Stegostoma tigrinum: one gene and its partner. The protein of the gene in region 1 purifies or fractionates together with the protein of each later gene. This does not show direct contact. Links are inferred from orthologs where the notes say so. Each region holds a gene or a part of one and is shown in the gene's direction. Other genes may lie near its edges.

Region 1 (15,963 bases):
TGAGGCTGTTCTTTTGAGTGTCTTAATATTCAACTTCTTGCAGTACTGCTTCTGTTGTCTCCACTGTGGGTCGCCATATTTATGGCGATCTTGGCTCAGACTATGTGATGGTCTGCCCAGATTTTAATCTGTTTCTGATCCCTGACAATGACGTAGTCAATGAGGTGCCAGTGTTTGGAGTTGCAGGTGCTGCCATGTTGTCATATATTGGTACCTTTGGTGGAATAGCGCAGTGGTGATGAGGAGCTTGTGTTCACAGCATTTGGTCAGGGGAAGGGTGCTGTTGGAATTTTGCTTTCCTACTCCCTCTTTCCCAATTACATTGCCCCAAAGGGCTGCACTTTTTCTGACTCTGGTGTTGAAGTCACTGAGGACAATTAGTTTGTCCATTGCAGGGACCCATGAGAGAGATTGGTCAAGGCTGGAGTAGAACTCCACCTTGTTCTCAGCTGCCTCATCGAGTGTTTGGTGCTTATGCTCTGAATACTGTAACATACTGGTTCTGAGCAAGGGTGAGTCGGAGTGTCATGAGGCATTGAATTATTTCACGGGGGAAGTCTTCGAGTTGGTCCACCAGTTCTTTCATTATGGCGAAGCCAACTCCATGGATATGGTGCTCTTCTTCAGCCTTCCATTTCCAGGAAAAGGTGTCGCCACCACCTTTCTGTCTGAGCTGTCTTTTCTCTGTTCACTAGGTTTCACTCAGGGAAGTGATGTCAATATCGTCAGGCTTGAGTTCTTGAGCAATGATGGTGGTGCATCATATGAAGGGATGATCCCGTGATGATCAGGCCACAGGTTTGTATTATGAGGGAAAGGGGATGGTGATGATTGCACTTGGCTGTAAAACCTTAAGCATTCCAACAAATGTCATGGTAATCCCCCATGTTGGGACAGAATACAAGTCAGCCTGCAGATGAGTAATTTGGCCACTGAGCCCTTGTGCAGGTTACAACTAAAGATACAGGCTCCAGAATGGCAATGGCATTCCTTACCTGGTCTGAAGTAGCAGTAGGCTGCGGTTTCTTACTTGATGAGTGGCGCCCATCTCCTCTGTTAAATGTGACAGCCCCAGCGAGGGCATTAGAGCAGTGTGCAAGCTGCAAGCCTGACTCTTCGGATATAGAGTCATTCCTACCTGAGGTGGATGAGTGCAGCTAATGCCATGGACCAGAGTCTTTCATAGTGTACAGAGCTAGCTCAGTAAGTACCATCACTACAACCTTAGGAACTACCCCAGAACCATGGCGTATTGAACTGCAGAGAAATAGTAGGGGATTAGGATTTGTTTCAGAAGAAACAGAGTATAAGCATGTACAAGTAGTGTTTAACATGCCAGACGTATAGATGCTGGCTTGGTGTGAATACCTAGCAACTCTTTGATCATTTGCTCCAGAGAGAACTCAGTCATAGTGAATCTGCACTGGAACAGAAAAGGAGGGGAAAGGGATTGATAGAATTATTGGAAGCTGGCCATGCATCATGGGTGGTGACTGTTAACACTCTGAGCATAGCGGAAGTGGATTATCAGTTATAGTCCCTCCAGAAAAACGTCACCTGACAAAGTAACAGTGCTTCAAAAGCTTGTGATTTCAAATAAACCTGTTGGACTATAACCTCGTATTGTGTGACTTCTGACTTTGTCCACCCCGGTCCAACACTGTCACCTCCACATCATGGCCTCTGGTAAAAGATAAGGATAAATACAGAACAGAGATATCAGAATCAGGAAAAGAGTGGTAATATAGGATGGCAAGCAAAACAGGTGATTCTGAACACCACCAACATGTTGGGACCCCTCCAGTATATTACTCAACAGATCATAGACAGAAAGGCTCAGGTCATGGCATACAATAAGAAGACAGCAATTTGTTCTACACATGCTAGCAGGCTTCTGTCTATGGCTGGCCCACATATGTTGCAATTAGACACCCACAGAGTACAAGACTGGGTGCCGGATGAACAACTGAAGACATGGGTGGGGGAGAAGACACTCCTGTGCCATGTCAGAAGCCTCACTCTCACCAACCAAGTCTGAGATACCAACTATATTGCCACAATAGCCTCAGGATACCAAAAGGAATGAACATGGCGCACCCTGACTTTAGCGTTAATTCCTCTGACTTGACCATTTGGTCATCAAGTCCTCTTTAAGACAGAATCCGGTGAGGAACTGCTTGTGTCTCTATCTGTCCATCCAAATGATACAGATGAGGACCTATGGTGGTTCATAGCTACTGAACTTCCATCTATTCCACAATTCATTGCAGACTGGGTGAAGATCATTCTTGAGGTAAAGGAAGATATCCATAAACAGACTATGCACATGAAGGAGATCAACAGTCATACAGAAGAGGCAGATAGGGTTTTACAGGCTCCAAGTATTTTGGCGTAATATTTGGAATTGGGGGCAAACACTCAGGCTCGTCGGCGGATCAGGATTATATCTCAAGTGATTGTTATAATTCAATTTGTTATACATGTTATTGTAATAATCTTATGGTGCTTGTTAACATGGAAAGTTAAGAAATGGAAGAGACTAATAACAGGGATTGGTATCAGATGCCAAAACATAGCTTGTATGACTGCTTATTAAGGTAAGAATTACAGAGATACACTAGTTTATAGCATTCCTTTCAACTCACTCATCATGATTTGTATTGATATTAAGCTTCTTTTGTAAGATGTGGAATGCGTATAACAATGTAGTTACTGTGGAACAAAAGGAAAATAAGTAAGGTATTGTAAAATGATTGGTAACGTTTATTACAAGTGCAACTATTTAAATTGTATCACCAAATAACACAAAAGAGGTAATGTTTTGCTGAGATTAAATCACTCTAAGGAGGCAATATTCACCATTGTCTAGAGGTGATCTGGAGGATTAGCAAACCCAGATGATTCTCAGATAAATCTTTGGATCAAAAGTGGGGGAGATGTTGGATAAGGCCGAAGATATGGGAATTGATATAAGATTTTACAGTGGACTAGAACAGGTTAACTGCAAGCTGGACAGAAGACTTTGTAGAAAGTGGTTTTCTAGGGTAAATAGGTTACCATGCCCAAAATTCAAGCTGCAGTTAGGAAGAATGAACAGAACGGCATTCCAGCTGCTGTGAAGACCAATATGGTTGAGACCATAAAAGTCAAAATGATTTGCAGAAATCAAAGGAATTCAACCATTGCTAAATACTTACAGTAAAATCATTTAAGATTGGACAAGTTTCACAAGCAATTCCAAATAAGAAAATTGGAATGACAACTTGGCAGGTCTGAACTATATAAATAGTAGCCCAGGAAACCCCTTAGTTTGAGCAGGATTCTAGAGGTGTGGTGAAGGCATTGAGAAGACTTCCAGTCTAGCTGGCTGCTAAGTCTCCTGGGAAATAATATTTGGGGTTAATTCAAGAACCCAGGGTAGTGAAAGACAGTGACTGAGATACTCTAGTAGTTAAAAGCATGTATTATTCAATTAAGTCCTGAATAAATTAGTTGAGTTTTATAGACCTTTAAGTGTGTTTGCTGTGTTTTCAAAAGCAATAAAGTGATCATCTGGGTTCAAAGTAAATTGTCCAAATGTCATGTTGTTCTTTCACATTTAAACTAGAAAAATGTCCATTCTGTCCATGCACATACAGGCATATGATTCAGCATGACAAGATCCCTTATGGCAGGCTGATACAAAAGGTGAAGTCCACGTGAGTTGGTAAAAAGGATACAGAACTTGTTTAGTCATAGAATACAGATTAGTGGGGAAGGGTGCTTTTCTGACTGGAGAGCTGTGACCAGTGGTATTTCACAGGGATCAGTGCTGGGATCCCTGTTGTTTGTGATATATATATAAATACTTTGGAGCTGAATGTGTTTGTGAATGACACAATGATTGGGGGAGCTGTGGGTAGTGAAGACGATTGCCAGAGGATACAACATGATATCGAAAAGCTGGAGACTTGGGCAGAGAAGTGGTAGTTGGAGTGTCATCTGAACAGATGCAAGGCAATGCAATTTGAAAGATCTAATGAAGGAGGAAATATACAGTACATGTTAGAATCCACAGGGGCATCAACATTTAGATGGATCTAGATTTAGACAGGATGGTCCACCATTTCCTGGAAGTGGCAACACATGTAGATAAGCTAGACAAGAAGGCATATAGCATGCTTGCCTTCATTGGTCAGGGCATAGAGTATAAAAATTGTTGTTGTGTGGTATCAAATTTTATTTAGGCCGCATTTAGAATATTCTGTTGCCATATTACCAGAATGATGTGAAGGCTTTGGAGAGGGTACAGAAATAATGCACCTGGATGTTGCCTTAGGACAGTATTAGCTATGAGGAGAGATTGGATAACTTGGTTTGTTTTTGCTTGAACATTGAAGGATGAGGGATGACCTGATAGAAATTTACCAAATTATGAGAGGTATGGATATAATGGTTAGTCTGAGTATTTTTTGCCAGGGTAAAAATATCCGTCCAACCTATCTTCTCGTTTATACTGACATTTTCCTAACTACCATTAGTTCTAAGGTTGGGTCACTTGACCCGAAACGTTAACTCTGACTTGTCTTCACAAATGCTGCCAGACCTGCTGGACTTTTCCAGCAATTTCTCTTTTGTTTCTGATTTACAACTTCCATTGCTCTTTCAGTTTTTATTTAGAATTGTCAATTACTACGGAACATAAGCTTAAGGTAGAAGGGTGAAAGTTTAAAGATGAGGGGCAGGTTTCTTACACAGAGGGTGATAAGTGCACTGCCAGAGGGAGTGATAGAGGTAAATATAATAGCAATGTTTAAGAGATATCTCGGCCGATACACGAAGGAACAGGCAGTAGAGTAATAGGGATCACGTAGAGGCAAAAAGCGTTTCAGTTTATAAAGGCGTCACATGTCAGCACAGTTGCGATGGTCCGAAGGGCCTATTCCTGTGCTGTACTGTTCTTTGCTCTTTAAACACACAAGTGCCTATAAATAGCGGTTAGATACTGACTAGATAATTTGTACTAGTGAGAGACATGTCATCGCCAGAACGATCGGGGAAACTGCCCTTCTCTTTGAATTGAGGCACATAATCATCTACATCCACTTTGATATGATCTCTCTGTTAAATTACAACAATATCAATAGTTCAGGATTCCTTAGGTCAAGTGTCAGGCAAAGTAAATTATATACTCAAGACTCCTGGAGTGAAATTTTAATCCTCAAAATCCTACCTCAGAGGCAAACGTTACTCGTCAATACAGATATCTGTTATCCACGATATCATGCCAAAGTTCCACACTGCACTGAAATTAGCGTCTGATTTTGAACACTATATGTACGTCTTTACTTTGTTTTTCAAATCCACTCGTCACTGCTTCACAACAAAATGGAACTGCCAGTAACTCCACCAACAGGCACTGTTAGAAACTAGCAAAACTGATCCCAAATGTTCCTGACATGCCAATGTCAAATAGCCCCAAGGTTCCATTCTAAAATATGATTCAATTTATCTGTTCGGCTCTGAGTCCATCTTAGTTTCCACCATTATCAGAATAAGGCTGTACTTTGAACAGCTCTTTGCCTCATATGATCCAATCTATGTTTGACACTATATAGTATGATGCTTCTATACTTCTACTTAATATCTGTCTCAGGAAGCAACGGAATTCGTAGGAATCCAACCGAGCGTCCAATAATCGAATAACTGTTTTGGAACACTAAATCCCTGCTTCTGGAAATTAAGTAACTGAGTGCTAATAAATGCAATTGTATTTTTAAAATTATTTTAATTCAACATCCTGCAAGAATTTCCTTTTGTTGTCGGTCATATTTCGTTTTTTGTGCCACCAATTACATTTTTCATGCTTTCCATTGAAATTATTTGCACTCAACCCAGTCACGAATCCTTTGCCACTTGTCAAAAGATCCCTGGTTAAATGACAAATATTCTAGTTGCTCTAACTTCCAAAATGAATATCCGGAATCAGATGTGTTTGATTTGTAAAGACTTAAAAGGTCAAAATTCATAGAATCAAAACTAAACCATCACCAATAAAAGGAGGGACAGAAAACTGGGAATTGTCGATAGAGGGCACGTGTGGTGGGTGCTCGTGTTTACGATTGGTACATTTATGCAAGATTTATTTTGGGGTTAATCTTGCAGCGTTATACTTTTTCCCAAGTTACAGAACTGTTAGGCTTTGCCTCTTGACGACCCTGGGTACCGTCTTCTGGCATCTTTATTACGTTACAGATGGTACATCATTGCGAGTGATTGCAATGCTTGTGGCACCGATAAAACATGAAACACTTAGCAAACCCTCCAACAGGAGTTACCTGATTCAACTGAGGTATATTAATTCAAAGCGCAGTGATAAAACCTAAACATTTGGAGATACCGTACTATGATCAATCCTCGTCGTTATCCTACTTCCTTCGGGAGAAGAAACGTAATTCATGCCATTTACCGGACAGCGGCGTTATTTCCTATACAAAACATTGTAAATATATCGCTAACAATAAATAATGTACAAAATTAATATTCTTCATCAGAGATAATTCTGATTTTATCGATTCAACCATTACATATTTCAGAATTCTACCACATTCATTTCAGAAAACAAGTTTCTCCACACGACTATTTTGGTAGATCTCCGTCCCTAGCAAGATGTACACTTTGTCCAGCCCTGGCTTCTCGGATTATCTTATTTACTTGGTACACATAACGGAAAGATATAAAGTTTCAAGCATTTTTCAGATGCTTCTAAAATACCACATTACGCCCACTCACTCCACAACCCAACTTGATGGCTTTTATTCTCTCAGATGCATGCGGGAATCAAATCGTCTCGTGCAATCCTGCGATTGGTCGCATGTTTTCAGGTACCGCCCTATTTAGAACATTGCAAAGCTGGAGTCTCATTGTGTTTGGTTTCTAATGCTGTCAATCACATGCCTTTTGTTTCCCCGCCTAGCCCCTAGGTCTCCAGGCTGCGTTGCAGTGTGCGGCTTGTAGCTGGAGCCTCGCCTCCTCGCAGTTCTCATATACACTCATCAAGGTCCGGAAGCGACAGGACATTGAAGAATATATAGTAACCAGTGTGAGCTACTACTACCACCACCGCCACCCCAAAACAATTCCTGATCATAACCGTCCTAACTCTTTGTTTTCAATGAGGGGAAGGAAGAAGACGTCTTAAGTTTTGTTTTTAAATTGTAAACATTCCCATTTCAACAATTACAAAGATAAAAAATAATTTGGTGAATAAAAGGAAAACGCGAGACAGGGAGAAAGATGGCAGCGAACAGTACAACATTCGCCAGCAAAACGAAAACCAAGAAGAAACATTTTGTGGCTCAGAAAGTAAAGCTGTTTCGAGCTAGTGATCCATTGCTTAGCGTCCTTATGTGGGGAGTCAATCACTCGGTAAGTCTGTTTTAAAAAACGTCATGAAATGCGGTAACTGCTGTGTGTAACTTCTGCAGGAAATCACATTAGCTGGATATTCCTCGGACAGGTTACTTGATCTTTGCGCCTGGATATTCCCTCCATTTCATTTCACCTAAGCTAATAGACATGGGATTTGATGAGATTTAAAAATCTATGCCGTGCATGTGCATTATGATGTTACGGAGAAGATGTGATAAATAGGAATGACCCTGCAGCATTTCGTTTAAGGTGAGTCTATGAAATGACAAGTCCTTTTAAGAGCGTTGCATTTGACAGATAAAAGCCACAGTTAGCTTTAAGTAAACGTGCTTCATATTATGTGTCTATGATGGGAGTGAGCCGAGGTATTTGGCCGAGGGCCTGCACCCTGTTCATGTGACTCCTAGCGGTTTTTTTAAGACCAAAGGCGACGGCCTGGAAACCCCTTAATGTCAACTTGCTGTCGAGTTGTGAGGTAATTACGACTGACAGCTCTGTTGACCAATTGACACCAAGATCCTGAGTCCAATGTGATTCCTGAAAGGAAAGCCCAAAGTGAAGGGGGCGGGGCGGAAACCTGCGCTTTTAAAAAATTGTGCAGCAGTTTGGCAAATGACAACTGCGTTGATTCTTGTTTCCTGTAAGAGCTAACACATAGTACCCTTCCCCCCCCCCGCCCCCCCAAAAATGCATCATTCATATTTTTTGATCAGCTAAGCAAATGCACTGGCTGTTGTACCTTTTGCGTACGTATTATTGTTATGGTTTAGGCTGGTGTTCTGACCTCCAGTTTTGCATGTCAGCACTTGATATTGTAGGCAGTCAGGGTGACATGCTATTTCATCGATCCTCAATGTTCTGCTGTCAGAACTTGTGGATGTACAACATCACCTCTATGCTTATTTTCAAAGCAGAGTTTTACGGAAACGAAGTACTGAAGGCCAAGGTTTTGAAAATGTGGCAGTCCAGAGCAGGCTGTTAATTCGTGTGTCAACACACAATCTATGTCTGCACCATTATAACTAATTTATCATAACCAAATCATTCAAAAGATGAAAGGTGCTTCCTCCATCTAGAGGAAGAAAAGTGGTAACTAGTTTAGGTAGATTTCTCTTTTAAGAGTGGCTTGAATGTCAGTTGCTTATGTCAATACATAAATGCATCTTAACTGCTGTGTGACTGAGTAACTCTTAGTATGTGTATATATAATCAATAAAGTGTTCCAATCTTTACTTTGGAGATTGAAACAGTAACTGAAACTAACATGGTCTTGGTTCAGGCCCTGGATGAACATATGCATTCTATGGTCCATCTCACTGGCTCATTCTCACTGCACGTTGCAGGATTGGGGGAAAGATCTACATTAAGTGCTACAAATTATCACTTGTTAATGGTTCCCATAAAGTTAAATTGTTAAACCTGTTTAATTTTGAAATTTGAACCCGAGGTGAGTTTTGTGATAGAGAAATATGGCTGTTTTGACTAGTAACAATAGGATATTAATTTCAATGTGCTATGGTTTGTTTCAGTACACCATGGTTATTGGACTGTGATTCCCTTCCTTTTGGAACTGTCATTTTTTCACTTTTACACATTAAAAAAATTGAGTTCTCCATCTTAACTATGAAATTAATTGTAACAGTTTTAGGAATTTGTTGTTAGGCTTTCATGTATTGCTTTAGTATCATCAGTTGGTAATGGTAGTACCTGTGCAACTGTGAGATCTTGCTTTCTTTTGGGACAAAGGGACGGGATGGCCTAATGTATGAGTTCTGAAGGAGAATTTTCAAAATAAAACTGCTTTTCATCTTCTGTACATTTTTTTTGGATGTAACTATGTGCCAAACATTTTGTGAATTAGTCTTTTTTTACAATACTTCAATTTAGGGTATATTCAGCAAATTCAGTCATGCAGTGGTTTTCAGTAATCTGAGTGAAACACTGATTAATTCTGTAATGCAAGCTTCTTGGCCTTACAGTGTTAGAAATGAATTGTGGACTTTGCTAGGAATCCTTCTTTCAAACTTTATGAACGCATATGGGACTTTCATTGGACAAATGGGAGAAGGCTTAAGACATAAAGATTGGCAATTGCAGGACCCTGTGATTCTGCATTGCAAGGAATAGGCATCAAAAGCAATTGATATTTTAAAAAGAACTGGAGATTCTCTAGTGACAGACAAGGATGACTTCTAAAATTGAGTGGTAGGTTTGGTTTGGTTTGCTATGCTGAAGTAACTGGGGGCCTTCTCTTTGGACTAGATATCCATACTTTTGTAGTCTCTGCTTTGGTCTTTACTGCAGAGGGCTATTGAGGCTGGGGTTGTTAAGTATGTTCAAGGCTGAGATAGACAGAGTTTTAGGGAAAGACAGAGACGTTGACCTTCATTTATTTTCATCATAGTACTGAAGTAATGGTGCAGAGGAACAGGATTGGAGTAAAATATCTCTTATGTAGTTAACATGATGCTGGGAAATTGGGGCAAATGACCTTCTACATGTGCTGATATTTCTACGTAGTTTTGCTACTCAGAAGCTCAGGCTTATGGTGACAACTTTTTAGATACTATTTATAAATGTGTCAATGTTGCAAAAATGTTTGCAAAAAGGCAGTCTTAATGCAAAATTGGATAGAATTGTTATGGTGTTATTATGTCTGGCCTTTTTTTATGTATTTTAAAACTGTTCATATTTAACTGCAACCTCTTTCACTTAAGATTCTCATACTTTTCATTTGTTCTGAATAGAAATTCATGTTTTAAAATGGTATCTAATTTTGTTTTACATACTGAAAACAAATGATATAAATAAACAAGAATGCAGAATTGGAGATTCATGCATAACAAGTAACAATTGACTTAACTGGTAAATCAACCATATGTAGACCAGTTGGCAGGAATTTTGATTTTTTTTTAACTAAATTGCTGCTTGTCATTTTATTTGAGTATCTAATATTATTATGAAACAAAAATGCAATGGCTATAAGAATGCTTGCACATAGTGCTGTAAGGTGCTAATGAATAGATTTGGCCTAGGTGGCACTTGTGTTATTGAATTATAGAGCAGCACTGGAAAAGATTTGGGAATAGATTACATTGCCTGTCTTTTGATCAGGAGTTAACACATGGCTTGAGAAAAAATATTTAAATATTTTAACATATTTTTAATAAACATGAACAATCCCTCTTCTGTACCTACACTGGCCCCAAACCCCGCCTCTTCCTCTATTACACTGATGACTGTATCGGCACCGCCTCATGCTCCCACGAGGAGCTGGAATAGTTCATCCACTTCACCAACACCTTCCACCCCAACCTCAAGTTCACCTGGACCATCTCTAACACCTCCCTCACCTTCCTGGAGCTCTCTGTCTCCATCTCGGGCAACCACCTAGAAATCGATATCCATTTCAAGCCCACCAACTCCCACAGCTACCTAGAATACACCTCCTCCCACCCATCTTCCTGCAAAAATACCATTCCCTATTCTCAATTCCTTCGCCTCCGCTGCATCTGCTCGCAGGATGAGGCATTCCACTCCCGTACATCTCGGATGTCCTCGTTTTTCAAAGACCACAACATTCCCCCCACAGTGGTCGAGAACGCCCTTGACCGTGTCTCCCACATTTCCCGCAACTCATCCCTCACACCCCGTCCCCGCAATTACCGCCTAAAGAGAATCCCCCTACTCCTCACTTATCACCCCACCAACCTCCTGATCCGCTGCATCACCGTCCGACACTTCCGCCATCTACAATCCAACTCCACCACCCAAGACATTTTTCCATCCCCACCCTTGTCTGCTCTCCAGAGGGACCATTCTCTCTGTGCCTCCCTTGTCCTCTCCACACTCCCCTCCAACCCAACCACACCCGGCACTTTTCCCTGCAACCGCAGGAAGTGCTACACGTCCTCCCTCACCCCCATCCCAGACTCCAAGAAGACTTTCCACATCAAGCCGATGTTCACCTACACATCTGCCAGTGTGGCATGCTGCATCCGTTGTACCCATTGTGGCCTCCTCTACATTGGAGAAAACAAGCAGAGGCTTGGGGACCGCTTGCACTTCCCAGTCACGAACCATTTCAACTCCCCTCCCATTCCTTAGACAACATGTCCATCCTCGGCCTCCTGCAGTGCCACAATGATGCCACCCGAAGATTGCAGGAACAGCAACTCATAGTCCGCTTGGGAACCCTGCAGCCTAATGGTATCAATGTGGACTTCACAAGCTTCAAATTCCCCCTTCCCCCACTGCATCCCAAAACCAGCCCAGCTCGTCTCTGCTTCCCCAACCTGTTCTTCCTCTCACCTATCCCCTCCTCCCACCTATCCCCTCCTCCCACCTCAAGCCACACCCCAACTTCTTTCCTACTAACCTCATCCCACCCCCTTGACCTGTCTGTCCTCCCCGGACTGACCTATCCCCTCCCTACCTCCCCACCTACACTCCCCTTTAATGGCTCCATCCCCGCCTCTTTAACCTGTCTGTCTCCTCTCCACCTATCTTCTCCTCTAGCCATCTTCGATCGGCCTCCCCCCTCTCCCTATTTATTTCAGAACTCTCTCCCCCTCCCCCTTTTCGGATGAAGTGTCTAGGCCCAAAATGTCAGCTTTTGTGCTCCTCTGATGCTGCTTGGCCTGCTGTGTTCATCCAGCTCATCACTTTGTTATCTCGGATTCTCTAGCGTCTGCAGTTCCCATTATCTTTGAATTTTTCCAACCTCTTTAAAGAGGTCTTCAGAGTTTGCTTTATATGGTCTTAAGTCTTAAACATTGGATAGAAGGAATTAATGTTTCAGGATGTGAGTTTATCAATTTAATGTTTCACTCACCATATCAATTTAATTGGGCAAAATTAGTGCATCCAATAGAAAAGATTGGATATTTTAATTATAAATAAATTACCTGTTTTAAATGATCCCTTACACTTAAGACTGACTTCATCCAGATCAAGACCTGTTCACAAATTGAGCCCAGTCCCAGGTCAAAATTACAAGATTCTGCCAGTGACGTTGGTTGAAGAGTGAAGGTCCTTCAAATTTCACTCATTTTTGTGCTGATTCTAGGAAGCACGTTTTTACAAGTCTTCTGTAGGAGTAACGTTTAATGTACTACGCCTTTATCGATTATTGCATTGCATATTGAAGTTGGGATGTCATGTTGCAGCTGTACAGGTTATTCATGAGGCCACTTTTGGAATAGTGTTCAGTTGTGGTCTCCTTGCTATTAGGAAAGATGTTGTTAAACTTGAAAGGGTGCAGAAAAGACTTACAAGGATGTTACTGGGGTTGGAGGGTTTGAGCCACAAAAAGTGGCTGAATAGGCTAGGGCAATTTTCCCTTGAGCATCAGAGGTTGAGGGGTGATATTATAGAGATTTATAAAATCTGGAGTGGCTGATGGCCAAAACGAAGCAAGCTGGAGGCCTGGAATGGTGCGCGGTGACCAAGAACTGGAGCAGAGCGGGTTGGAGGCATTGAGTGCCAAAGACTGGCTGAGAGCCGGAGCAGAGCAGGCTGGAGGCATGGTGTGGTGTGGGGATGTTTGTTGGACTATCATCAGTGCAGGTGGTCAGCAGCTTGTGAGCCTGGTCAGACCATGTATGGAAGAGCCCATGCTAATCTTCTGAATATAATGTTTATCTGTAATCGGTTTATCTGATTGTAATATTTATGCTTTTAACTGTGTCTTATTTCTAACTTATACTATGAATCACTGGAAGTTAATGCAACTTATTTCTTCTTTTTTTCCTCTTTTTGTATTTAAGATTTGTGCCTAGGTACTTTGTATGTAGGATCGTGCCATGAGAAGCATCATTATAAACTTTCGCTGTACTCCTGTACTTGAGTACATATGACAATAAAACCTAATTCTTAATTCTAAACTCATGAGGGGCATGGATAGGGTGAATCCTAGGGTAGGGGAGTCCAAAACTGGAGAGCATGGGTTTAAGGAAAGAGGGATCTGGTGCTGGTGGGGTTGGGGGGCGGGGGGGAACAGGTGTGTGTGCATGTATGGAATAAGCTGCTCAAGCTACTAGGTTGTGGCTGGTACAATTACAGCATTTAAAAGGCATCTAGATGGGCACATGAATAGGAATGGTTTAGAGGGATATTGATCAAATGCTGGCAAATGGGGCTAGATGATTTTAGGATATCTGTTCAAGTTGGACTGAAGGGTCTGTCTCTGTGCTGTACAAATTTATGACTGTCATTGCCTTGTATATACCAATAAACATACTAAATGGTTTAGTGTATGTTGTTTAAAGTAATATTCAGTATTTTTAATGGTTTAGCAGAGCTCTGGACACATACATATTTTTGATCAACATATTTTCACCTGAAAAAATTCCCAAGGTCACTGGCTTTGAGTTCATCAAGAAATATATTTTAACAGAAGGGGAGACAAAGATGATTATCATCACACTCCATGATTGTACTGAGTCATTGACACAGATTTAAGATGTTCAATGTAAATTAATTTTAGCAGAGTCTTGAACTGTAGCCTGTCCTGCACAATGCTGAACATAATTGGATGTATTTTCTCAAGTGTGACCATGTGTTGACTTTACATACACAGATGTATTTGTAAAATAAGCAAGTACAGATTTTCAGGAGAAATCTACATTGATTTGTGAGTAAAGAACTTGAACTTGAATGAAAAGTTTCCTGTATCATATTTTGAAATGCTCATTTTCAAAAATTGTTTTCAGTGAAACTGAAAATATTTTGAGATCTAAGGCATTCATTGCTTCTCTTTTTTAATAAGCAAGCCCTTTTTGAAAATATATTCACAATACTGTAAGTAGGATAATAGCTAGTTTGAAGTGTATAATCGTACAAAAAGTGCTTAGAGATCTGATTCCAGATTCTGTTGCAGCTGTTGAATGTGGTACCAAAATAAGGAGTGCTTCTCTACACAAACTAAATGCCATACTTATACATGTAGTTGTACTTTCACAAAAAGTGATGTTTTGCTAAAATTTGGAAAAGCTGGAAAAAAAGCAGCAAATCTGGAAAAACCCGCAGAAGTCCAGACTGCCTGGTTCACATCCAAACTGTTTGGTTCCAAGGAGAGATCTTAAAACTAAAACGTTTACTGGCAAAACTCAGCAGTTCTGGTAGCATCTGTAGGAAGAAAGCAGAGTTAACATTCTAACACTGGTGACTCTTCATTAGAACCATCACCTGCAGTTCATTGTTTTATCTGCAAACTGAAAACAACAATTGAATGTCTTCTCTTTCTCCACAGGTGCTGCTGGATTCCCATAGTAGTTTGAATCTTTTATGTTCTTTTCAGACTTGCAGCGTCTGTGGTATTTGGCTTTTTCTTTACCGTGTTTTGGTTTTTGGGTTTTCTCCCCTGCAGCTATTGTGAGGTAAATACTCACAGTGGGACAGTACCATGTGATGTTGAAAAGATGAGCTGGATTTAGTTAGCTGCCATTTAAAAAATGTCTTGCAACAAGATATTTTACCTGAGACACTTTGCCAAGATCAAGGATAATAAGTGTCATCTGGAATTACAACAAGCGATCAGAAAGCTAGAGCAAGCAATATTTTCACTATGTGCTTTAACAATGAGCATTAATAGATGTCTTTATCAGTGTTTAAGGTAGCAAATTTTGAAACTAGATTGAAGCACAGTTTGTTTGCAATTTGATTTACACTGAGATTGGGCAATTCAACTATAGCCTTGAGTTGTGCACAGGTGAGGAATGAAGTAAGTGGAGAGGAGAAATTTTATCCAGCTGCTGGTTTAATTAGTGCTGTGATATTCTCAAGGGAAGCAATTTATTAAAAATTCACATTCAGTGCTTGCCAAATGGCTGTGGTAGATACACAGTTAAGGAGCTATTTGTTGTCTGCTAATCACAAAAAAACTACTGAAATTCAGTTTTTAATCTGATATTGCAAATTTTTTTGTAATGTTTTGACAATTTAATCTGGTGGGCCTACAGCTTGTTGTTACAGGAACCAGCAAAATCTAATTGAGACACCAAGATTTTTAAAATCATTATTTGTTGTGATATTAGATTTAGCAAGATGAAAGTTCAGAACTAAAAATTTAATACAATAATCTCTTGTTGCAAATGCATTGTGTTTGTGTAAATAAATTTATAAAAACATGGCACACTTAGCAATGAAATGTCATTCATTTAACCTGGCACCTTTATACAAGGCCTTGCTATAATAAATAAATGATTCAAATTTAACATAAAAAGTATAGCTAAGAAAGATATGATTGGTGAGGTTCTGTGGACTGTTTATGGTAGGGTGGAGAAACAGAAGACAGTCAATTGACACTTTCCATTGGATGACCTTTTCTTCAAACTGAACACTCTGGACATCTGCTCCACTGCAAGTTCTGCCAAAATTGTTGATTTTCTTTCTTAATTTTCATCTTTAAGAGAATAAATAATAGGAGCTTGTCAAAAGGTAAGGTGCTCATCAAGGGAGATTTTAATATACATAGATTGGAAAAGTAAGACCAAGGTAGCCTAGATGAGTTCATGGAATGTTTTCAGAACAGTTTCTTAGAACAGCACATTC
Region 2 (15,963 bases), on another chromosome or scaffold:
TTTTCTTACCCTCAGAGTGACTGTCCCAAATAAATAATTCCATTTGCAAGATACTTATGGGTTTTAAAATAGTTATTTATAGCCATTTTGAAATTGAGTATTTCTGAAAAATAGACACATTTGGTTGAAACTTTCTATCTTATGCTTCAGGACAATGCACAAGAATACCAACATAACAGGAAAGCAACACTTATATTGTGAGAGGAAAGTGACAATTGGTTGACAAGGAGACACTGATTGGTAAAAATATTGCCATTGAAAATGCACCAGTTAAAGATCACTGACAATTAATCTCCAAACTTTGTTTAAATTGTAAACCCATCTGTAAACTGGCTGTAATTTGTCAAGCAATGTCCTTTGAAATTAACCAGGGAATGACTTTCACCTCGGAAAAACTGATGAAGGTCTCGGCCCAAAACGTCAGCTTTTGTGCTCCTGAGATGCTGCTTGGCCTGCTGTGTTCATCCAGCCCCACACTTTGTTATCTTGGATTCTCCAACATCTGCAGTTCCCATTACCTCGAGTGACTTTCACCTATTTTGTTGAGTTGAATCAGGGGCAACGTATATAGATGTTCTTTACATTTGTGAAGAACAGAGACTGTGTATAAATTTGTGAAGCTTCTGGTACACATAGATGTACTGTGATTCGAGCCTGACTGACAATTCAAGATTGGTTGCCAGTGCAATTATTTGCACACTCAGGGTTATTTAACTGTGAAATCACATCAATGTTGGACATGGTGGTAGTGAGTTTTACAAGTGTGGGATGGCTGGGAATGGTTAGAACCTTGCTCATTGCAAACAGTCAAAGAGATATTCTGATAGATTTGATCGGCCTATCTTTTGGGACTAAGACTTAGATACCTAGCATCACACCAGCAGTTAAATTTATTTACCACCTTACTGATTTGAGTGATAGGGAATATACCTTTTGGGTTTCATGACAGTATCATGTTCATGGTGAAAACTATGTGTGGTGCAGCAGCATGAAACAGCTAACCTCACCCTTCTGAGATAGACATGACACTTTTCAGGACCAAAAGTAACTATCTTAGGCTCTTTCAGAATTTGCATGATAAATTGCAATAAGTAATCTGACCAGGGTGGTCATTATCCCAAAGGATGGCTTCAAAGCACCCGATATCGACAACAAGCTTTCACATTGAACAGATAGCGTAGGTCCAGATAAGGCATCATTTCAGGTTACAGACCATATAGGATAATCGAGTGCTTAAATTAACTAACAAAAAGTAGGTTTTCCATAGACACTAGCCAACCCATCAGCACTGTCTTTTCCTACAATATAAATGTTGTTTTTCCTTTGCATTGCTATTCTTGCGAATTTTCCTGATGAGCCCAACATTAAAAAAGTTATTATTATCTATGCTTGCCTCACATTTTAAACATTACGTTATGCACACAAAGGTTAGATACAGGTAAACTAATACAGTTGCTACTTATGATTATCTGGCAGTGTGACTGGCCTGCAGTTTCTTAGATGGATGTGATCATTTAAAATTGTAATGTAAGTTTGGTAAAGTGAGGGAATCTCAGTAAGTTGTAAGATTTCTTGCAAAGTCTTTGGAGGGTCAATTCTCAGCTTAAGTCAAAGGTGGAATAGCTTGATTTTCGCAGAAATCTCTTCCTTTCAAAATATTGCTGATAACTTACAGCTAGTTTAGATACCTTCTAGTGAAATTCTGTGTCTGGCAAACAGCTCTCCTGATTTTAAAGCAAACAATAAACATAGCAAAGTCCTCTTGTTGTTTCCATTCATCCTGTTTTGTTTGACAACTTGAGAGAGTTGAGACAATGAATGCTTTTGTACTTGAATGACAACTACAATTTAGAAATGACCCTTTTGAATCGGTTTCAGGAAAGGAATTAATTCCACATAGGTCTGGAATGTTCCTTTTGTTTCCCCTTGCAACAGGGGATTGGTTTCCGCCACAGGTCAGGTGACCATTAGGCAGACAGCTTTTAAAAGCTTTTGTTCAGCTTTTATAAAATGTGAAGAATTGACTGAAAGACCATGTATATACAGGAATATAACATTTTAAAAAGCTCTGAACCATTTAGTTTTTTACTTGTATTGAAGGTGGTGGCAGGAATGCTGTTTGGCTGGATGGGGCAATTGATTGCAGTAGGTCACGTATTGAAATGTCCAAGAATATATTCAACAAGAATGTATTCTTGGACATTTCAATACAAAACAAGAATGTATTCTGGTTTATTACCTCTTTGAGACAGCATCAGGAAGGATCAGAATATTTATACAATAATTCACTAGGACTGCAGTGAATCGTACCAAAGAAATATTTAAACAAAGCTTCAAATTCTTGAACAGTCAGTTAAGCCCTACTAAGCTCTTAAGTACCACAATAACCAAAGAAAATAAAATATGTAAGTTGATAGAACAGAGTAAACACTCTATTATTCATAGTGCTTGTTTTATTGTCTTACATAGTGCCTGAGGAATGGAAGAATTCTGACCATCTAATATTTAGATAAACAACAATAATTTTGTAACCAAAATTATAAAGTGCACATGCAAATTTAACTACCTACTTTTCTTTATTAATATTGTTTCTTTGTATGGTCTTGCAAAAACTTCAACTTGTCACATTTCCCCAATGAAATGTAAGATTTATGATCAAAAGTAGGCCATTTCATCCACCACACTGGTTCCACCATTTAATAAGATTGTGTTTGATCTGATTGCAGATTTCCCTCCATGTTCCCACCTGCAGTCCATTAAACCCTGGCTTCTTTTTCAATCAAAAATATGTTGAAGTTATTCTTAAACATTAAAAAAAAGACAAAGGATAGCTCACTGGGGAGCCACTAACTGACATGGATTCTCTCTTCTGTTTGGGGTTTAGAATGAAACCTATGAAATTCTCTTTTGGATGGCCCTTGTTTGTCATTCCTCAATGGGCCGTTCCTTGACTGACTGTTCTTTGGCCAGTTGCTCCATCACTGGCTTTTCTATACTAGTTATTTCTTGCCTTTCACTAGTTTAATTTCCTCTGCCAGTTAAAGAAAACTGAGTATAATCATTCATTCATATTTAAGAATGAGAATTCTAGATTTTGAAGTATGTGTACGTTTTCTCCTATTTTAGAATCATAGAATCCCTACAGTGTAGAAACAGGCTATTCGGCCCACTGAGTCTGCACCGATCATCTGAACAGCATCTTGCACAGGCCAAGCACCCTACCTTATTCCTGTAAGTCCATATCTACCATGGCTACTCCACTTAACCTGCACATCCCTGGACACTACGGACAATCTATTATGGCCAATCCACCTACACTGCACATCTTTGGACTGTGGGAGGAAACGAGAGCACCAAGTGGATACAGGCCGAACTCCACACAGAGAGTCACCCGAGTCTGGAATCAAACCTGGGTCCCCAGTGCTGTGAGTCAGCTGTACTAACTGTTGAGCCATGATGCGTTCCACATTATAGAACATAGAACATAGAACAGTACAGCACAGAACAGGCCCTTCAGCCCACAATGTTGTGCCGACCATTGATCCTCATGTATGCACCCTCAAATTTCTGTGACCATATACATGTCCAGCAGTCTCTTAAATGACCCCAATGACCTTGCTTCCACAACTGCTGCTGGCAACGCATTCCATGCTCTCACAACTCTCTGCGTAAAGAACCTGCCTCTGACATCCCCTCTATACTTTCCACCAACCAGCTTAAAACTATGACCCCTCGTGCTAGCCATTTCTGCCCTGGGAAATAGTCTCTGGCTATCAACTCTATCTATGCCTCTCATTATCTTGTATACCCCAATTAGGTCCCCTCTCCTCCTCCTTTTCTCCAATGAAAAGAGACCAAGCTCAGTCAACCTCTCTTCATAAGATAAGCCCTCCAGTCCAGGCAGCATCCTGGTAAACCTCCTCTGAACCCTCTCCAAAGCATCCACATCTTTCCTATAATAGGGCGCCCAGAACTGGACGCAGTATTCCAAGTAATTATGTATCCCTTATGTTAGACAGTTGCTAATTGTAAACTGATCATTTTAGATGCTGTATCTCCAGACCATATCCTGGACTTTTGTCAGTTATTGATATTGTTGTTCAATCATGGTTCACTATCTGATAATATAGTGGCATTTTCCCCAACGTCTGCCTTGAAATTAATGAGATGACTATTTACATAAACATTTTCTTGCTGTAAAGCTAGGTCTGGATTACTTATTCCCATAGTATTTCCCTACTATTACCTATAGCAGATGAATGTGTGACTGGAGACTTGGTGCAGGAAAGAGGGTTTTAGAATAGTTAGGCATTGGGATCATTTCTGGGGAGGTGTTGCCTGTATAAGTTGAACAGGTTACATCTGAATGAGAATGGGAATGGGACCAAAGCATTCTGTAGTCTTTATTTGTTGAAATAATCTGTTTCTATTGTTCCTGCCAAAGTTGACAGCTTAACATTGCACTCTTCTGATATTTGTCAGTTGCAGAATTTCCAGTTTGCAGGCACCAGCCATCTCCCCCATACCAAGGATGCACAATCTCTTTACACATCCATCCCCATCAGGATGGTCTTAGGGCTTTCTTACTTTTACCTGGAAAGAAGGCCTGGTCTGTCCCCATCTACCACCACCCTCCACTGCCTGGCTTACTTTGAACAACTTCTCCTTTAACTCCTCTCGCTTACTTAAGCTCAAAGGAATGGTCATGGATACCTGCTTGGTCTTCTGTTATGCCTGTCTCTTTGTGTGGTATGTGGAACATTCCTTGCTCCAGTCCTACCCCTTAACTCTTTCTCCATACTTCAATGATGTTATCAGAACTTCTTTCCTCTCTCAATTGGAATTGGAAAGGTTTACCTATTTCACTTTAACTTTTCACCCTGCTCTCACCTTCACCGACTCCCATAATTAACTGGACTATATATCCTCTCAGAGATAATAGGAACTGCAATGCTGGAGATCCCGAGATAACAAGGTGTAGAGCCGGATGAACACAGCAGGCCAAGCAGCATCTTAGGAGCAGGAAAGCTGACTTTTCGGGCCTAGTGAAGGGTCCTTCACTAGGCCCGAAACGACAGCTTTCCTGCTCCTAAGATGCTCCTTGGCCTGCTGTATTCATCCACCTCTATATATCCCCTCACCCTGCTTCCTGTAAGGACACTGTTCCTTTTTCCCAGTTTCTCCATCTCTGTCACATCTGTTCCGATGATGCCAGCTTCCATCAGGGAGAAACATGTCCACCTTTTTCCTCTACCACTATCTTAGTTGACACGGCCCTACCAACGGGATGCCACCACCAGACACATATTCCCCTCCCCTACCTTGTCAACATTTGGCAGGGACCATTCTCCCAGGACACCTTAATCCACTAATTCTCCATTCCTGACACCTTCCTACATCCTCATGGCACTGTCCCATGCAACTGCAACAGGTGCAATGCTTTCCTGCTTACTTCCTCCCTTCTCACTAACCAACTCTCCAGAGATACCTTCTAGATGAGACAGTGATTCATCAGCTATTCACTCAAACTAGTCCACTGTATTTGCTGCTCACAATGTTGTTTCCACTACACTGGGGAGGCGAAATGTATACTGGGTGATGGCTTTGTGGAACGTCTATAAAAATGACTTCAAGCTTCCTGTCACCTGCCATTTCAACGCATGACTATGTTCCTTGGCTGACATTTCTGTCTAGAGCTAGCTGCACTGCTTCAGCGAGACTCAGCACAAGCTGGAAAAACAACTTTTCATCTTCTGCTTGGGATCCCTGCAGCCTTCAGGACTCAATTTTGAGTTCAACAATTCTAGAGCCTGAACGCCCTCTCCTATGTCCTTACCCACCTTTGTGTACTAAGCCCTGTCATGACAGGGGCTGGTTTCAGCACAGACAGCCTATTTTCAACTATGCATTGCCTCCATTATCAGCTTTTCTTCTTCCCTGGCTTACTACCTACGATCCCTTTGTCCATCCAATTTTTTTTCTCTTTCTCTGTTGGATCCATCTCTACTTATCTGCTCACTTTTTCCAACGCCCATGCCCTGTAATTAGCAGAAAAATCACCTTTCCCTAACAACTTTCAGTTCTGATTAAGGGTCACCAAATGTCAACCCTGTTTTCTCTCCAGAGATGCTGCTGGCATGCTGAGTTTCCCCACATTTTTGCCTCACATTTACTGCATTATACCTACCATCATTTGTCCACTTAGACATTATCCTAGTCTCCTGTCTAATAATACGTAATTTAATCAAGCATCATGAAAACAGATTACTACAGCAAAATCATGCAGCTACTGAAAATCCGAAACAAGTACTGAAAAGCTGTTAAAAACTCAAGTTACGTCTTTTGAGAGAGACTGAGTTAACTTTTCAGAGTTAAAACTGAGTTAGCCTTTCATCACGGGGGCCATTGATGTCTCAGACATTGTTAGGTGCAAACTGGCTTCTATGGTCCCACATTATAGCAGTTACTGCACTTCATTGGTTGTAAAGCACTTTGATATGTGCTGAAAAAGCCTGTGTATAAACATGATAACAAGGTGTAGAGCAGGAAAGCTGACGTTTCGGGCCTGGACCCTTCTTTCAGAATTTAAGAAGGGTCCAGGCCCGAAACGTCAGCTTTCCTGCTCCTCTGATGCTGCTTGGCCTGCTGTGTTCATCCAGCTCTGCACTTTGTTATCTCAGATTCTCCAGCATCAACAGTTCCTACTACCCTCCATGTATAAGCAGATGTTTTGTTTTCCTTCAACATTTTCATTGTTAAATGTTTTCGAGGATTTAATAAAAACAATGCTCCGTTAACTGAGAATACCCTGGTTCTAAGTTACATTTTATCAACACGTCCTTTAATGACTCTGAGCCCTACGTTGCTTCGGAAGTATTTCTTGCTGCTTCAGGAGAACTACAGCTCCCGTCATGCCGGACGGCGCAAACGCATGCGCACTATCCTCAAATTTCCATTATGACCGGATTTTTTGTCGGTTTTTCATAAAGTTCGTTAAATTTCATCACGCACAATGGCAAGACAATTAAATGATGAACTAACCCAGGTATATATCAAAAAAAGCTTCGAGGAAGGTTGTCACTGAAATGTTTAACTTCCAACTGTCGCGGGTAAAGACTACAATTCCCAGAAGGCCGCGGAGTATCGCGGGGGGTGGGGGGCGCGTCTGGCGTCGGCGACAAACAACAACGTCAACGTCACGGACGAGGGTTGAAGAGAAGGTTCAGGAGCAGAGAGAGAGAGAGAAGGTAGAAAGGAGAGGCGGAGGAACGAGAAGGAGGAGGTCGAGGGAGAGGGAAAACTGCGAGGCAAGGGGGGTGGGAAAAAGAACTGGCTGAATTAAACAAGCGATCATTAAAGTGAGCCCCAGGGACCGGCGGAGACTCACCTCAGAGCCTGAAGAGGACAAAGTGGCGTCACCCGAGTGAAGAGAGGGGGGGAACGAATCTCCTCAGACCCACAAACACACGCACAGTTTGTCCCCCCCTTCCCTCGTCTTGTTTTCGTTGCCGTCCGAGTATACACCTCGATATCTATCATTCTTTTTGTGTGCTACCCCCTTTTTTCTCCCCCCCCATACCCCCCCCGGGCCGGGGGTTCCGTCTGTCCGTTTGCACCTGAAAAGAATTTTGTTATTTTTCTGTGTGTACGCGGCGGAGGGGTTTGGGGGGGGGGGAGCAGGGGGAAGAGTGGGGTGGAGGAGGAGGAGGTGGTGGTGGTGGTGGTTCGGAGGAAGACAGGCCCGAGAAGAGGAATTAAAGCCGCCACCTCCTCAGCAGCACCAACATGTCCTCCCCGAGTCCTGGGAAGAGGCGAATGGACACCGATGTGGTCAAACTGTATCCTTCAGAGCAGCGAGTCTCCCAGTCGGAGGGGCTTCAGCAGTTAACGCTTTTTCCTCCCTATGTTCCACATCTTCCCCCCCCCCACTCTTTGTCTCGCCTGTTATTTGTATCAAGTACGCCGTTTGTTTGCGTTGAAGGATGATATTTTTAAAAAAGTACACATTTTATATAATGTCACAAGCTTAGCCCATTAGTCGGTATTTTTTTATCCGTAAAGCATGCCCCTAAGTGTGTACACGGGCGATGGTTATGATTGGGGTTTTTTTAGGGGTTGTTAGGTCTTTGAGATATACAGTGGTTTCCATCAAAGAAAAATGACAACATTCACATGGTGACGGATGTCAAAGCTTCCTTTTTTTGGTTGAAGTTTTGTTCCTCTATCTGTTGAATATATTTTCAGGGAAAACGTTATGTTGGTTTTTTTGTATGTTACGAAATTTTGAATTTGTAGTGCTTTTATTCTAAATTTATGGCGAGTTTATAGTTCTTTACTTGATACTTATGAGGCCTTGTCTTTGTGAAAAAAACAAGCTAGCCTTTTTTTTGTGCCGTATGTCCTACGTTTGAAAGCCAGATTTCACGTTTCAGCAGATGATTTATGATTAATAGGCAGCGTCACATCGCATCAAACCTTGTTTCTGTGTTTTCAACTACAAAGGAGGTTGCGATTTGTCTGACGTGTATTTCCAGGGTACTTTTGGGCCTGTTGATCTGTCTAGGTTTATGGCGGTGGTGGGGAAGAGAAAGGAAGGAGAGATAGACGGGAGGGAATGGTGGTTGCGAAGAGGAAAAATAACTGAAGGAATTTGAATGCGGATGTTGACTGTCTTGTAAATTGAGTGACGTTTTTAATGCATCCTTACAGTTTTTGCCATATTAGCTGATAGAAGTATTACTTTTGTCTTGAATTTTTACGGTGTTGTTGAGAGGTCTTGTTTTTATTTTTGGACTGGTGAATATTTTGCTTTTTTTAAGGTTTCCTCGGGCTCGTAAAGGCATTTTTTGGTTGCTTAAAATTTATTATGGTGGAATTGAAATTTTTATATAAATGGCTGTGTCACATACGTTAATATTTAATATCTCCCCACCCCCCCCCAACCCCATTTTGGGTTGTGTTTTTTGAAGGTGCTACCTGCTGGAACTCGTTGGACAGCAACTGTTGGTCCTAATGCTAGTTGCAAAGAGCGGATTGGCTGTACTGTTACTAGCCGGAATTGAGTTGGAGGAGGAGCTTACTTAAAACACAAACACGTTCACCAGCTGACACTACAAAAGAGAGGCTACTTAGACGTCGGCGCTTTAGTTGGGTGGGGGCAAACACAGTAAACGGCCGATTACTAATCAACAGCAGTTCAGCTTCCCGTCGCTTCTAACTGTACCAGAAATTTGTCAGAACTTTATTCAGAACAAGGGAATGATGTAATCATTTGAATTAGCTTTCTTTAAGAAAAAGTTATTGCAGACTATTTGTATTTTAGAAGGTCATTAACTGGAGATTTTGTTTATCATCTTTTACACTTTTTGAACTGTTGTGTTCCTAGTGTTCACTTTTCTGATTAAAGTATTTTCATACAAGAAAGCACAGTAATCTTGTATCCTAGTTATTTATAATTTAAGGATTAGTTGGCCCCATTTATTATGTCAGTGGAAACATTTTTCGTGTATTTTGCCATGATCCCATTATGTACATTGGTAGTTTGATTTAAGATTTTTTTGCTGTTGTAGCCCAGGTGATAGAGAATACTGGTAGATATCTGGAAATAAAATCTATCAGTAGCTGCTGGGGAGTGCTAGAGATTTTTCCCCCTTATGTTTATGTCTTAGTAGCAAAAAAGGCCTATCCTGTTACTTCAGCTTGCTTCAGAAATGGTTACAACCATGTTTATAAGGTGGCTAAGTCTGCCATTTCACTCTTTCCAGCACTGATGGCAAGTTTGGTCAGAGGTGACTGCATACCGCAGAGATTTCCATTACCTTATTTGCTAAAATCACAACTAAGGTCTTATGCCAAAATTGAGTTAAATATGTGATTCTTTCATTTATTCCTTAATGGGGCAAAGGCATCACTCGTAAGTCCAGTATTTATTGGCCATCTGTGAAATCAGTGGATTGTCAGGCATGTTAGCTGGGCGTCTGGGGTCCCGTGTATGCCACAGTGAGAGAGGATGGCAGACTTGCTTAGGTAAAGGATGTTAGTGAAGCAAATGAGTTTTTATGATAATTGATAGTTTTACGGTCGCCATTGTTAACATTAGTTCCTGACACTAGATTTTACTAATTGAAGTGTGTTAATTGAATTGCTAATGTATACTATAGGACCTGATTGCAAAAGGCTGGACATACGGGAACAATTTTCCACATGGTTGTCAATCCCGTTTTGCAGATGAACTCCAGAACTAGCTGCACCCGGTATAAGTCTGCTGTACTATAGCCAGGATGTTGTCAGGGCCCAGAGTCTTTGCTGTAATCTGTACCTTTATGCCCTTCCTTGATATTACCTTTAATGCACTAGTTCATAATTGATTTCACTATGATCATCCTTGTGCCTCAGTCATGATGTCTGATTATTGGTGTCTATACTTGTTTCCAGTCAGTGGAAGGAATCTGAATGGGATAATATTAACCTTTTTTGAAGGCACATCCATCTGATTAAAATGCTGTCAAGATATTTTTCAAGTAGGGTGCCAAGCAAGTGCTGACTGAGAAATTTGATGACTGCAAAATTATTATATGGATTATGATAGCTAGGTCTATCATCGATGGCATAAAGGGAGAACAAAAACAGGAGAAGGTATTGAATGTAGACTGGAGTTTTGTTTTCATCACTGTTTGAACATGTTATACCAATCCTCCAGGAATGTCTCAATTTGAAGCGAGACTTGAATCTGGACTCTTTGGCCCAAACATACAGAAGCTATCATTGTGCTGCACAATCCTTTGATTTGATGACCAGAGGACCCAAACAATTAAAAGAAGTGGTGAATTTCCATAAGTGCAGTTGTATCGTGTGGATCAAAGAGCAGTTTAAGCTCACTTGAATTCACTCTTGCAATGTCACCTGGCCAGGAACTGCCTCAATCATTTTGCTGCATTTGTACTACTCCCATAAGGATCAGGTGCCAAGCTTCGTGACTGGATAGGCAGTGGGTTCACAACAAGTTTAATGTATAAAATTTGTCCAAGCTGATGGTCTAAAAAGGATCAAATGCACATTTTATCTAGCTGTGGAATGCTTTGTATGCTTTATGGGAGGAGAACGGAACTGGTTGTGGCAAAGAATAATCGGTACTTTTGTTATCATACAGTGCTGTTTGCTAAAGGTGACTCTGAGAAAGTTACTCTGCTACCTAACTGAGGTAGCAAAACAACCAAACTTTGGGACTATTGGGCTTTTAACATGGAATAGCAGACTGTGTGATATGTATGAATTGTTGTTTCTGCTGGTGTGCACAGAGGTTAAAAGCAAATTGAATTCCATTGTGATTCATGAATTTAAGCTCCCTCAGTATTGGTACAACACCTTTTATGTACACTGGCTTTTACAGAACTTCAAGTTGTAGGCTGGTGCATACCCTTATAAGGATTTCCATAAAATGTGATGGGTGAGAGAGATTTTCTTAGTGTACCTTATTGACTTCTTAGGGAGAAAACTGAGCACCATAATAAATTGCTTCTCCAAACTTTTATAACTTGTGACTAAAGCTTTTGGAGTATTTAATAATAGAGTGAAATTCTTGTCTTGTGTGGTACTAATGAGAATAGACAGTGCAAAGTGTATAGAAAATTTATTGGCACAAAGTTGAAAATGTGGTTTAAGTATGTTTGTTCGTCCATAATGTGCGGGTAGCATGTGTTTAATCTTGTATTTATTATGAAATGTTTGAGGGACATGAACAATAATATTTGATAATTCAGTTAATTTTGAAGTAAATCAGTGGTTTTACTTCTATGGATATTGATAAAATTTGGATTCCTCTCCCCCACCCCCCTCAGCTAATGCTGATTATAACCTCTTTCACTTGGGGTCAAGTCTTATGTTCAGTTCACTCTTTGGTACTTTGCCACTCAAGTATTTATCATTTGTAAATCCAGGTATTGAATTTTAGGTTATAGTTGAGTCCAGTCTGCTGTTCGTAAAGCATCTGTATGTGGTGTAAGGATCTCTGAATTGTAATCAGGATAAAAGCGGTGGGCTTTACCCCCTTACCTTAAGGCTTTTAATGTTAAACACAGCTAGGAGTCAAATTGAAGCTTTTTGAATTCTACACATCAGAGCTAGAATGCAAGAAACAGATTTGAACAAAAGGACACAATTTCATAAGCGTGGAGAGGATGGCTAACTGAATCATCATTGGCATGGGTCGTGTGTTTGTGCTTGTTTGACTATCCTGGTTTGTTTACCTGCATGCCATTCAAACAAGCTATTGACACTTGCACTATGCCACTGTCATGGTAATCTAAATATGTCATTTAGTGTCTGAATCTGAGTTTATCAAATTCAATAAATAACAACAAAAACCGATGAGTTCGGTTTAAATTACGTCGTATATGCTCCTGTAGATGTGTTGCTGTGGAATCATCTGTAGGCCCAGCCCCTGCTAACGTTTTTGATGTTACCATGAGAGACCTCTTCAATGGGCATGAAATAAACATCCTTTTCTCAGTGTATTAATTGTGATGTGTGACAATGAGTACTTGACTACTATATATCAAAGTCTTGGTTCACTGATCAGTAAATGTTTGGATTTGCAGAGTTTCATGTGCAAGGTCATTCATATGACCAGGCTCCTAACTTTGGCTCACCATGTATGTTTGCTGGGGTAGGCTATATGTGACCTACCCTATGATTGTGGATACCCCAATCAAATCATTACTTCAATATTGAACAGCCCAAAGGTTGGGCTGTGTCTACCACCTTTGGTCCCAAGTGATACCCCTTGTTCTCAAAGGGGAAGATGTCTCAAAAATTTGAACAACAGGTGAAGCTCATGGTCTTGCACTGCTCCTGCAGTAAATCCACAATAGCTTTTCTTCGCTGCCTTCAAGCCCAAAAAGTTTAGCCAACTATGCAGATGAGTAGTGTGCATTTCTGAGCTGGCATGTTGCTGGGTATGTAAGCTGTACATTGCAACGACTGGAAAACCACATTAAACAGCATGTCTGTTGACTATTTGCAGTGGGTAGCACAACTGCTCTTAACCAGCCTATGCTCGCAAGTCTCAAAATTTATGCATGTCATCATAAGTAATATTTGCAATGGACTGTGCTAATAGTTAACCTGCTAATTAAGATAATGGTAAGGTTTGCTGTGTAATGTATTTACACGTGATAAAAGCCAGATACACACATTCACTGAACCCTATTTTTAATGGAGATCAAAGGAATTTGTATCCCCAGGACCAGTCAGAATCTACTTGCCTGTCTGAGAATGAAGATTGACGGGTAATTCTTGCAGCAACTCTTGGTGAGTGATGGCCCAACCAAATAACACCCTTTTCTCATGTTGTATGAAATGCTGTACCTCCATTGAAGTCTGTTTCTTGTCATTCTGAGTGCAAGATGAAAAGCTTTGACATGTCGCCTTTTAGCAGTGTTTAGCTTTATACTACTAAGCTTTAAGTTCCTATTTGTTACATGATCACTGGTCGACCAGTGGTGAACCTGAGTTAGTTTTGGCCAGTATACCTCATCATCTTGTCTTAACTAGCTGAATCATTGAAAAACATTTAAAAAGTTGAAAATAAAGATTTTTCAAGGACGTGCACCATTGTTGATTCAATGCTCCATCATGAGGTTTGTTTGCCTTTAAAGAATCTTAATGTCTATGTCATTGGTAAACATGCTAGGTGAGAATAATTGAGTGAATTGAACTGCTTTTGTATAGTGTTCATCTGGTGATTTGTCTTTCTATGAATTATAGGTTGTTGTGCCTCACTGCTAGAGTAGCACACTGGAAATGAAGTCCTGTTTTTTCTGGAGTTCTTACAAAAGTTAAAGCTTTTAAAAGTGCGCAGAATTCCCCAATTTATCTAACTCATCAACCCAGGTTGACGGCTCAAAACTTTTCTGTACCTAACAAGAATTGCTACTTATTACAAAAATAGATTCGCCCTCTCAATGCATATAGTCAGAAACAAAAATACAGCTGCTGTTGGCAGAAGGAAATTCAATGGTCCCTTTTCATTTTTTTTAAACTTGACATAGCATGCTATTCCTTGATTCACTCCCAGATGCTTTCACTTGGAGTTGGGACAGGGTGGCTGGTACATGCTTAGTTTCCCAGGCTATTGGTTAAGAGCCACAGCTTACAGCAATGCCTGAGGGAGCAATAAACTGGCTTTATGCTTAAAGTGGATATTACTGCAGAGAAAAGAGCCAGCTTTTGCCCTTGAGGAAATCCAGTGGCTTCTCCTAAACATTCACATGCTGAAGTTTTTTGGCTGCTTGAGAGCCAAATAACAGTTTTTAGTAGGCAGAGAAAAGATAATGTAAATAACTGGAGAAACTTCATCAGCCCTAGCAGCATCTGAAGAGAAAGCAGAGCAAGTGTTTTGGATCCACTGACCCTCCTTTTGAAGGTTTTTATCATTATTCCGTGGATTAGTGACCAGTTATCAGTCAGTGACAAATTGCGAGCCAGTGCTCCAGTCGTACATATCTCTTGGGTTCAGCTCATCTGCAAATCATCCCCACATCTTCAACCCTCAGCAATATAAGCAAGACTCATAATGACTGTCAGGCTACTTCTAAAATATGCAGCAATCCTTCAGTAATCCTTGGCTTTTTAAATCAGTTGTTTTTCCCATTTCAAACTACAATCGAAAAACAAAAACAAAAGATAGGATCTTTACAAGTTACCAGTTTAGTGTATATCTTAATTCCATAGTGTAGCAGTTCAAACATTGTGTTGATTGAAGCTTTGGTATCAACTAATTTGTTTGAACAGCAATGTGCTGATGAGAAGCTGTGATCTTGGCATAGTTTTTTATATATTGGATTTGAATGAAGGATAGTAAAGCATGGGGAAGCGAAGAACAAGTAAATTCTCTGCCTGGTGAGAAAAATGAGCTGTTTTCAAGTTTTAACACAAGTGCAAGGTTGAAGTAAATGTGTGACAACGACACTGGTCAGACTTTGACAGAAAGCAGCAGTGATTCAGCCTATCAAAGGCAGCTGATGTTGGGCATACAGTCAGAGTTTGGAGACAGTACAAGCCATTCAAGTTTTGTTCTTGCATTAGCCTTGTCTCAGTGTTATATTAGCTCTGGGTCAAACCTTATTTTGTGGTAATAAGTATGTAATCTGTAACTTTTTAGTTTTATTGCAGTATTGAAGGGGTGTGTTGCCTTTTGAAAGAAACTGAAGGCCGCTCTGTTTTTTCAGATGTAAAATATCCCATGATGGTATTCAAATAGCAGTTAAGTTTTCCAGGTTTCTGGACTAGCTGAATAGTTGCGGGCCTAATACTAACCCCTGCGGTACTCTGCTTACTACTGATTTCCAGTCAGAGAAAGGTGTAAAGTTGGACAGGCTGAGTAGGAAGGCTGACGTTTCGGGCCTAGACTCTTCTTCAGAAAAAAGACCCTTCTTTTTTCTGAAGAAGGGTCTAAGCCCGAAACGCCAGCCTTCCTGCTCTTCTGATGCTGCTTGGCCTGTGTTCATCCAGCTCTACATCTTGGTATCTCAGATTCTCCAGCATCTGCAGTTCTTACTATCTCCAGTCAGAGAAACATGCATTTTTCCCAATTCTCTGCCTTCTGTTGGTTAACCAGGCCTCTATCCATGCTAAAACATTCCCTGCAGCTCTTAACTTATGGATGAGTCTTTTATGTAGTACCTCATCGAATGTCTTTAGACAATCCAAGTACACAACGTCCACCTGTTCCCCCTATCCACTGCGATTGTTATATTCTCAAAGAAGTCCAGTAGGTTTGTCAAACACTACCTTCCCTTACTGATCATTGCTGTGCCTGCCTGTTGAACCCTTTCCATCCAGATGTCTTGCTGTTTCTTCCTTCAATGATTGCTTCAAGCATTTTGCTGACTACAGATGTTAAGCCAACCGGCCTGCAGTTGCCTGCCTTTTTCCTACGTTATTTTTAAACAGCGGCGTGACAGT

What was found.
Region 2: the proteins of pip4k2aa (region 1) and ube2h purify together in Homo sapiens (affinity purification with mass spectrometry; 3 studies listed by BioGRID and IntAct, with this or other methods). This does not show direct contact. The link is inferred for Stegostoma tigrinum from reciprocal best matches to the Homo sapiens genes PIP4K2A and UBE2H.

Annotation. Positions count from the first base shown.
Region 1 is NC_081355.1:119,246,161-119,262,123, reverse strand, and holds the start of pip4k2aa (phosphatidylinositol 5-phosphate 4-kinase type-2 alpha), read left to right. Parts: upstream 1-6,979; 5' UTR 6,980-7,275; coding exon 7,276-7,407; intron 7,408-15,963. UniProt on the Homo sapiens protein: Catalyzes the phosphorylation of phosphatidylinositol 5-phosphate (PtdIns5P) on the fourth hydroxyl of the myo-inositol ring, to form phosphatidylinositol 4,5-bisphosphate (PtdIns(4,5)P2). Has both ATP- and GTP-dependent kinase activities.
Region 2 is NC_081378.1:16,351,753-16,367,715, reverse strand, and holds the start of ube2h (ubiquitin-conjugating enzyme E2 H), read left to right. Parts: upstream 1-7,693; 5' UTR 7,694-7,785; coding exon 7,786-7,838; intron 7,839-15,963. UniProt on the Homo sapiens protein: Accepts ubiquitin from the E1 complex and catalyzes its covalent attachment to other proteins. E2 ubiquitin conjugating enzyme that transfers ubiquitin to MAEA, a core component of the CTLH E3 ubiquitin-protein ligase complex.